Linked DNA regions of Cricetulus griseus. Each later gene encodes a partner of the first gene's protein in a complex. Links are inferred from orthologs where the notes say so. Each region holds a gene or a part of one and is shown on either strand. Other genes may lie near its edges. The genes, in order: Tmprss15 and anionic trypsin-2-like.

The links.
Region 2: the proteins of Tmprss15 (region 1) and anionic trypsin-2-like are in contact, whole or in part, in a cryo-EM structure (PDB 8ZIV), measured with the Homo sapiens proteins. The link is inferred for Cricetulus griseus from reciprocal best matches to the Homo sapiens genes TMPRSS15 and PRSS1. Residues at the interface, in NP_001414986.1 of Homo sapiens: Tyr276, Thr277, Ile279, Trp297, Glu298, Leu316, Glu318, Asp320, Glu321, Ile369, Gln370, Ser372, Phe374, Pro376, Phe377, Ala389, Gly399, Pro400, Gly401, Gly402, Arg403, Glu405, Glu432, Asn433, Lys485, Ile486, Leu487, Val513, Pro514, Thr515; in NP_002760.1 of Homo sapiens: Phe18, Asp19, Asp20, Asp22, Lys23, Ile24, Val25, Tyr45, His46, Phe47, Cys48, His63, Cys64, Tyr65, Lys66, Arg68, Ala91, Lys92, Arg95, His96, Arg101, Lys102, Leu104, Asn146, Tyr175, Phe188, Leu189, Glu190, Gly191, Gly192.

The regions. Positions count from the first base shown.
Region 1 is NC_048597.1:16,540,784-16,543,858, reverse strand, and holds the end of Tmprss15 (enteropeptidase), read right to left. Parts: intron 864-3,075; coding exon 708-863; 3' UTR 507-707; downstream 1-506. UniProt on the Homo sapiens protein: Responsible for initiating activation of pancreatic proteolytic proenzymes (trypsin, chymotrypsin and carboxypeptidase A).
Region 2 is NW_023276806.1:227,421,391-227,425,968, reverse strand, and holds the start of anionic trypsin-2-like, read left to right. Parts: upstream 1-1,658; coding exon 1,659-1,698; intron 1,699-2,681; coding exon 2,682-2,841; intron 2,842-3,721; coding exon 3,722-3,975; intron 3,976-4,345; coding exon 4,346-4,482; intron 4,483-4,578. UniProt on the Homo sapiens protein: Has activity against the synthetic substrates Boc-Phe-Ser-Arg-Mec, Boc-Leu-Thr-Arg-Mec, Boc-Gln-Ala-Arg-Mec and Boc-Val-Pro-Arg-Mec. The single-chain form is more active than the two-chain form against all of these substrates.

The DNA.
Region 1 (3,075 bases):
TAAAATGACCCAGATAAAGATTATTTGTGTAGAATGATGTTATTATCTAGTTTACTTTTTTATGTTTTATGGTCAGGAGAGAGACGTGTGTGTGTGTGTGTGTGTGTGTGTGTGTGTGTGTGTGTGTGTGTGTGTGTGTGTGTTTTCTTTACCTGGACAAAAGGCATATTGATGATGTGATCATGTTGGCAATATGAGTTTATAACAAATGTATATGAACAGGGAAAATATTACATTTAAATAGAAATGCACTCAGGTGGTAAAGAAAGAAAACAAGGGTGATTCTGGTGGTACACTAAAGGGCAATTAGATGAGTTACAACAGTTCATTTCAAACACCACACTTCAGACAAACTATTACATTTCATTTCTTTACCTATTTTTGCTTAAATGTTTGCAGATGTCTTAAAATAATAACCCTTCACATAATAGAAGGTAATGAAAATGATTGAAAACAAAGGAAATGATGTCTATAAAATAATTGTTTATTATGAAACAAAAGTCCATTTTAGAGTTACTTTATGTTGCAAAGATTGATTTGAATTTGTTTTGTCTTTCTTCCTTATTCCAATATTTAAATGATTCAGTTTAGAAGAAAAGCTTTTCTTTCCTTTTCATGAAACTCTCAGTTGCCATGCTACTTTGAGTAAAAAGGAAAAACAATCAAACAAACACTGTCCAACTTTCATGTTTGGGTCGGGAAAATGTCTAATGTAGAAAACTTTGTATCCACTCTGTGAACCCTGAGACCCGGGCATACACCCCAGGGCGATTAGGCAGTGCACATTGGACTCCAAATGATGTCACACCAACAAGAAACCACCTGTTGTTTTCTTGGCACATTAACGGCCCTCCCGAATCACCCTAAAGTGTAAACAAAAAAAAGGAAATTGTGGGTACATGGCCAATCCAGTATAAATAAGTACAACTGTGCTAAGTTTACCAATAAAAATATAAATGTAAAGAAATATGATCGGTTGCCAGTTATGTGTCTATTCTCACCATCATTTTAGCCATCAGAAATTTGCTATTCAAGAAGATGGGCCCATTGGTAACAACAGAAAGTTTATAATTTTGGTGGAGCGTTTCTTATATTTTTGGTTGTGAGTTTAGCCTTTAATGGCTGAGCCATCTCTCCAGCCTGTGGTGGAGCATTTCTTAGCTCTGTCATTTTATTTCAACACAGTTAAACATTCTAAAATTCCACAATAAAAAATCCCAGCAACATCAACATGCTAATCACTTTATTAAGTAACATATAAGTACCAGAAAAAGCCTTCATGTGAAAGGCAAAACTATTTCACATTGTGATTTTAGAAGAATTAAGAGCTCTCACACAGTTTTGGAGTTAGTTCTCTTATGTGACTGAAAGTTTTGTCAAATACCAATCAGATTTGAAAACCTTAACATTTCAATCAAAATAATCAAATCTCTTATTTTCTAGTAATCAGAACATATGTTTTCATTTAGATTTCAGTTATAGGAGTGTGGCTTTTTGTCACACTGCAAGTGAGGTAAGTGATAGTTGATCCTGATCACATAGGTCTTATTTGTGCATAATAATTCCTATCTAATGCCCAAAGAAATGGTATGTACATGTAATAGCATAACTTAATTATGAAAAATGGACACACATTACTCCCATATTATGCAAAGAATTCTGGTTATGTATTTATTTGTCTTTTTTTGAGATAGGGCCTCACTATGTAGCCTATACTTGGCTTGGAACTGACTATGGAGATCTGGCTAGCACTGAACTCACAGAGAGCTGCATGCCTCTGCTGGAATTAAAGGCATGTACTAACCAGCAAGTTATTTATTTTTATATCATGAAACAATATGAAATGCTATATACTTAATTGAAAACCACTGCTGTAATGAAGTATTCAAAATTTGGCTCACTGTTAGGAATTGTCCTGAGAGACCCCTTGCCTAATGTTTTAACCTCCTTTAGTGTTCTGTTAAAAGGGGGAAGGTGGCCTGTCAAAGCACTCACTCCCTGCTCCACTATTGGACAGAGAGGAACACAGGTGGCATTGGCAGTCACAGGTTGCCTACATTTAAAGTGCGACAATTGTACCAAAACTGTCTGAAGGAAGGGCAGTGATTTTTACTTTTGTGTCCTAAGGTCTTAATCTGTATATTAGATATATTTATGAAGTTTATTGCTCACAATATCTTCTATATTTTTTAGAAGTTACTAAAGTTAAACCAAAGCTTAATCAGGTGTTTTTAAAAGGTTCCTTCTATTTCATGAAAATAATTGACATTTTATTAGGTGAGTATGAAATATTGATGTTAGGACCAAATGTTTTAATTGACGTGATGTATACTAAGTCAGTTGAGTGGCAGGGACACTTGAACCCTGAATAAGGCTTTCTGCCTTTCTCCTGGGTCTCTGCATGGCCAGGGGCCTTGGCTTTGTTTCCAATATATCACTTCCCAATGTCCAGCCACATCATGTCATTTATATTATGTAAATTCCTGGCCTTGATTTTATAATTTGTTTAGTGACATTTCTTCTATTATTTCAAGGAAATGTAACTATTTCATAAACTAATGCAAGAACACAAAATATTAAAACCAACTCTGTTTCTACTTTGATACTATTTACAGTATGTAAGTATACATAGTATATGTTTATACAAGCACAAAAGATCACTAACTTCTTTGAATGTGAAAGGATTAATTACTATTTTTGCTTAGAACAATGGTTCTCAAACTTTATTATATGTTATAGTCACCTGAGGGACACAAGAAAGCAAACATCATTGAGCCTCAATTTAAGATTCTGATTTGCAAGCCTGTGATGGACTCTTAAATCTGCAATTTAAACAAGTTCTTAGGGAAACTGATCCATCTGATGGAGTGCAGCCTATGTTTGTGAAGAAAAAAGATAGTTTCTGAACGGACAATGAAATGACATCCACTCTCCTTATCAATGAGAAGATAGTATGTAGTCTCTCTTATTGACTGTAAATTCAGAAGACTACAATATGCAAAGGAATTGGGTCCACCTGGTTAGAAATTTTTTATTTTTGCTAAAAAGTAATGATTAAGTGAATGTATTCAAACA
Region 2 (4,578 bases), on another chromosome or scaffold:
CTGACACACAATGAGGTACTACCCTTGTACCGCTGCATTATACCATAGTAAAATGAACATTGAATCTTAGGAGTGACCTAAGATAACAGAAAAACCTGGATTCAAGAAGAGTCAGCACTGACTGCATACAGCATTATACTCTGCTTTCACAATAATAGAAATATCCACAATCTTCCCATGTCTCCTTGTACCTCATTGCTGTTCAAAAGTCATGTTGAATATTGACCAAAGCCATTCTATTCTTCAAAATTAGTATAGACTTCTAGAACAGGCAGTTGTACATAACAAACAGGGTAGATATTCTTAATACAATTACCTAGGGCCACATTGATAGTCCTTATGATAATCACGGATTATAACCATGGTATTGTTTGTATACTCTCAAGGTTCCCATGTAGCCTTAATATTACATAAGTAGGAAAGGCAAATTTCTTGAAATTGTAGAATTTGACAATTGTATTTGTGTAGTTCTTTGCCCTCTAAAAAAAAAAATGTCTAAAATCAGGGAGCCTGCTTAGAAAGCATATTCTCTCAATGACCATCTTATTAGTAACTCTGTAACTCCCTTCTTCACATCACTGATGTTCCAGGGTTTGTCCACAGATATCCATTTTTTCTTCTTCTTATTAATTATTAAGGAGATTAGCCAAAATCAGAGCAAATCAATTAAGGAACCACAGATAAACATTTTCAGAGGGATTGTTCAAAGAGCCCCACTATGTACCCAAAGGAGGACTTTTTCAAAGTTACTAAAAGCAACTTCCATCCATCAAGGGATTTCTTTAATTTAATATTGTACTTAATTATTTGTTTGTTTCTTTGTTCCCCCCTTTCTTCTTTCCCAAGTCCCAGCCATCCCTTTTCTACCCTCAGCTCCTCAGTTTCTTTTCACAGCAGCACAGGCCTCACATGGAAGTCAACAAAAAAGGGTACATCAAGTCGAAGGCTAGATATGGCTGCCAAGAATGAGGATTAGTGTCCCAAAGCTGGCAATAGTCAGAGTCAGCCATTTTTCCCACTGTTAATAGTCCCAAAAGAAGACCAAGCTGCAAACTATAAAATATAAACAAAGGCCTAGGTAAGTCCCATGCAGGGGCCTGGTTGTCTGTTCATTCTTTGTGAGCTCCTATGAGTTCAGGTTAATTTATTCTGTGGGTTTTCCTGTTGTGTCCATCTGAAGGTTTCTAAGCATCCCATAAAGTCTTTCATCTCCCACACTTATTAATTTAATATAGTAGAGCAGAGCTGTGGACACACAGATTGACCGTGACTGTTTCCCCTATTCTAGCATCCTTTCAAGAATCAGCTACGACTCTGCCTACCACTGCTGTGGAGGCTCCCTCATCCACCTCATCAATGACCAATGGGGGTGACTGCATCTCATTGAAACAAGGCCTAAGTAATGGTTTCCTAACTGCATTGCCCAAAGAGCGGGGCATCTTTACTTTCATGAGAACAATTTTTTTTTGACACCTGAGGATCTCCTATTGCCAAGAACTCTAAAAAGAGTTGACATTAAGAATCCAAGAAGTGGAAAATACAGGTGTGTTTGCTCAGTAACGGTCAATGGCATCACACTTCCACTTCACCAAGCAGAGTTCTCCTCCTTAGACATATAAAAGCATGCCCCTCTTCAGACCCCACTACCTTCTGCCACCATGAATCCACTCCTGATGCTGGCGCTTGTGGGAGCTGCTGGTGAGTCATGCCATGTCCAGTCCTGCTTTTCTATTTAATTAAAAAACATGGACTCCTCCTTCAAAGCCTTCCCTACTACATTAATTCTCCACAATTTTACTTGACGTTTTGTAATTTGTCAAGCTTCAGGACAAGCTTGATTCACTCACTAAAACATCCTTTATTGAATTTAGAGCCTTGATTACCTAGACTGAAATAAAAAGCAAAACTGAAGGAGCATAGCATGAACCAGGACTCATATTCTTCAGCATCAACCACACTAGGAATCCTACAACATAGTAATTGATGAATTACAGAGGGAAGCAAGCGATGGGTTAGGTGACTGACATGCAATCAGATCCCATGAAGTGTGTTTATGTCAATGTTCTATCCTTTTGCTGGAACTATGAAGAGTTCTGAGCCCACTAAGATCTACATACCTGTCCTGCATTCCCTTACCCTGGCAGGTATTGAATCCCAGGGCTGACTCCTGGGGAGAGTGATTTCCCTGATTTCTTTCAGTCATTCTGCTCAGAAAGTAATATTGAAACGGTGGAAGGTACTAAGCAAAGCAACCTCCAACAACATGATGAGTTTGCTTCTACTTCCTGTCTCCTCCATAGTTGCTGTCCTGGCTGATTCTCTAAAGAGAAACATCCCACAGGAACAAACAAATAATAGATGGAAAAATAAAGCAGGCCATGTTCAAAACTTGATTCTAATATGATCAAGTTGCTAAGTGTTTTCTTAAGTCATTCTTGCTGTCCTAACTCTGATGCTTAGAAGTTATCGCAGCCCTGTGACAATGGCCTATCTTTCCTATGGAGCCAAATACTAGGAAACCCAACAATCTATGTTACATATTGGAAACAGAGGGATCTCCACTTTCCTGCATTCATTGTGCTCAGTAGGAAATCCAAGGTTGAAGCTGCCATCGAGCCAATGGCTTTACCATCTAGCATGCTAATGACTTGGCTTGTTCTCATCTCCTATCTCCACTCTAGTTGCCCTTCCTGTTGATGATGGTGACAAGATTGTTGGAGGCTACACCTGTCAGAAGAACTCCATTCCATACCAGGTGTCCCTGAACTCTGGCTACCACTTCTGTGGAGGCTCCCTCATCAATGAGCAATGGGTGGTGACTGCAGCTCATTGCTACAAGACGTAAGTGATGGTTTCTTGATTGCATTGCTCACAGAGTGGGGCATCTTTACACCAGGCATCTCTATGAGCCAGTGAGGAAGATGTGGAGGAAGGGGAAAGATGGGGAAGAAAGATGGAGTGAACAGCACTGGATGCTCACAGTCTTTAAATAAACACCAATACATAATAGGATATAATAGGATGCTTCAGCAATGCACACACACACACACACACACACACACACACACACACACACAGAGAGAGAGAGAGAGAGAGAGAGAGAGAGAGAGAGAGAGAGACATAAAACAAGAAAAAGACTGCAACTAAGGAAGGCTTTCTTTCTCATCTTAAACACCAATGAACCTGGAAAAGTTTTTCACAACAGCTTTCCCTCCATAAAAATAAACAGTAATCAGTGTTTTAAAATACATTTGAAGATAACTATGATTGTTGATTAGGAATTATGTCCAGAGTATGAGTCTTTCACAAGGTCTGAAAATCATACTGTGAAATTCACACACTATATTTTGACCCTTCTGGTTGAAATGCAACAAGACGAAATCTTTTCAAAATGAAATGATGATTAAAAGTTCCTGCTACTACTGTACATGGAAAAGAAGGATGAAGAGAGCTTTACATAACTCCTTAGATACTTAGCCCTGGATCTTTTTGTATATTAGAGTGAGGAGAAAACTACACCTCCTTCACCTCTGGTCCTGTACACGTCTCTCTGAAAAAGAATGTGAGATTGTGAAAAACAGCGCCCTGTCACCATCCTGATTCTCCCCCTATGATACCGCAGCAACAGCTTTCAGTGGCACACGGGTGTGAGGAGCTTGAGAACTTTGTGATATCTGCAGTCACAGAGATAAAGAAACTAGCCTGCCTCTCTTTCCAACAGTCGCATCCAAGTGAGAGTGGGAGAGCACAATATCAATGACCTTGAGGGTGACGAGCAGTTTGCCACTGCTGCTAAGATCATCAGGCACCCCAGCTTCGTGAGGAAGACCCTGGACAATGACATCATGCTGATCAAGCTGGCTTCTCCTGTGACTCTCAGTGCCCGGGTGGCCACTGTAGCTCTGCCCACCTCCTCTGTACCTGCTGGCACTCAGTGCCTCATCTCTGGCTGGGGCAACACCCTCAGCTTTGGGGGTAGGTAGGAGGGGTCACCTGCTACTTCTCTTGTGTCAATACACTCTGCAATCACCTCCTCTCTGGAGTTATCCCACCGGCTTCCAGACTGCAAATGCATTGCAAGCGCACAGCACATGCAGGTTCTCAAGCAGAGCCAAGACAAATTTGTACAGCAAATGGACTGATCTCCAGAATGCTGTCCAGGCGCATGCACAATGTGCTCTTATTCTTTTGGGAAGGACATTAGCAATGAATGTTGTGTAATTGAAAAGCCACAATTTCTGAGTGGAACGTAGTATCTCAGGGAACACTCCATTGCTTGCCAGTTGTTTCACAGCAGTATTGTTGTCTGGATGCAATAGTCTTCATAGTTTTCCTTTCCTCACAGAGCTTTATCCAGACTTGCTCCAGTGCCTAGAGGCACCCGTGTTGACTCAGGCTGAATGTAAAGCTGCCTATCCCGGAAAGATCACTGATAACATGTTCTGTGCTGGCTTCCTTGCAGGAGGCAAGGATTCCTGCCAGGTCAGTGGCACCCTTCATTTATGCAGACCTCTCCTCTCCTGGGTGGTTGGTTGGTGGGACTTCCAAACATAGTGTTTTGGGTCAGCAATTTTCCTG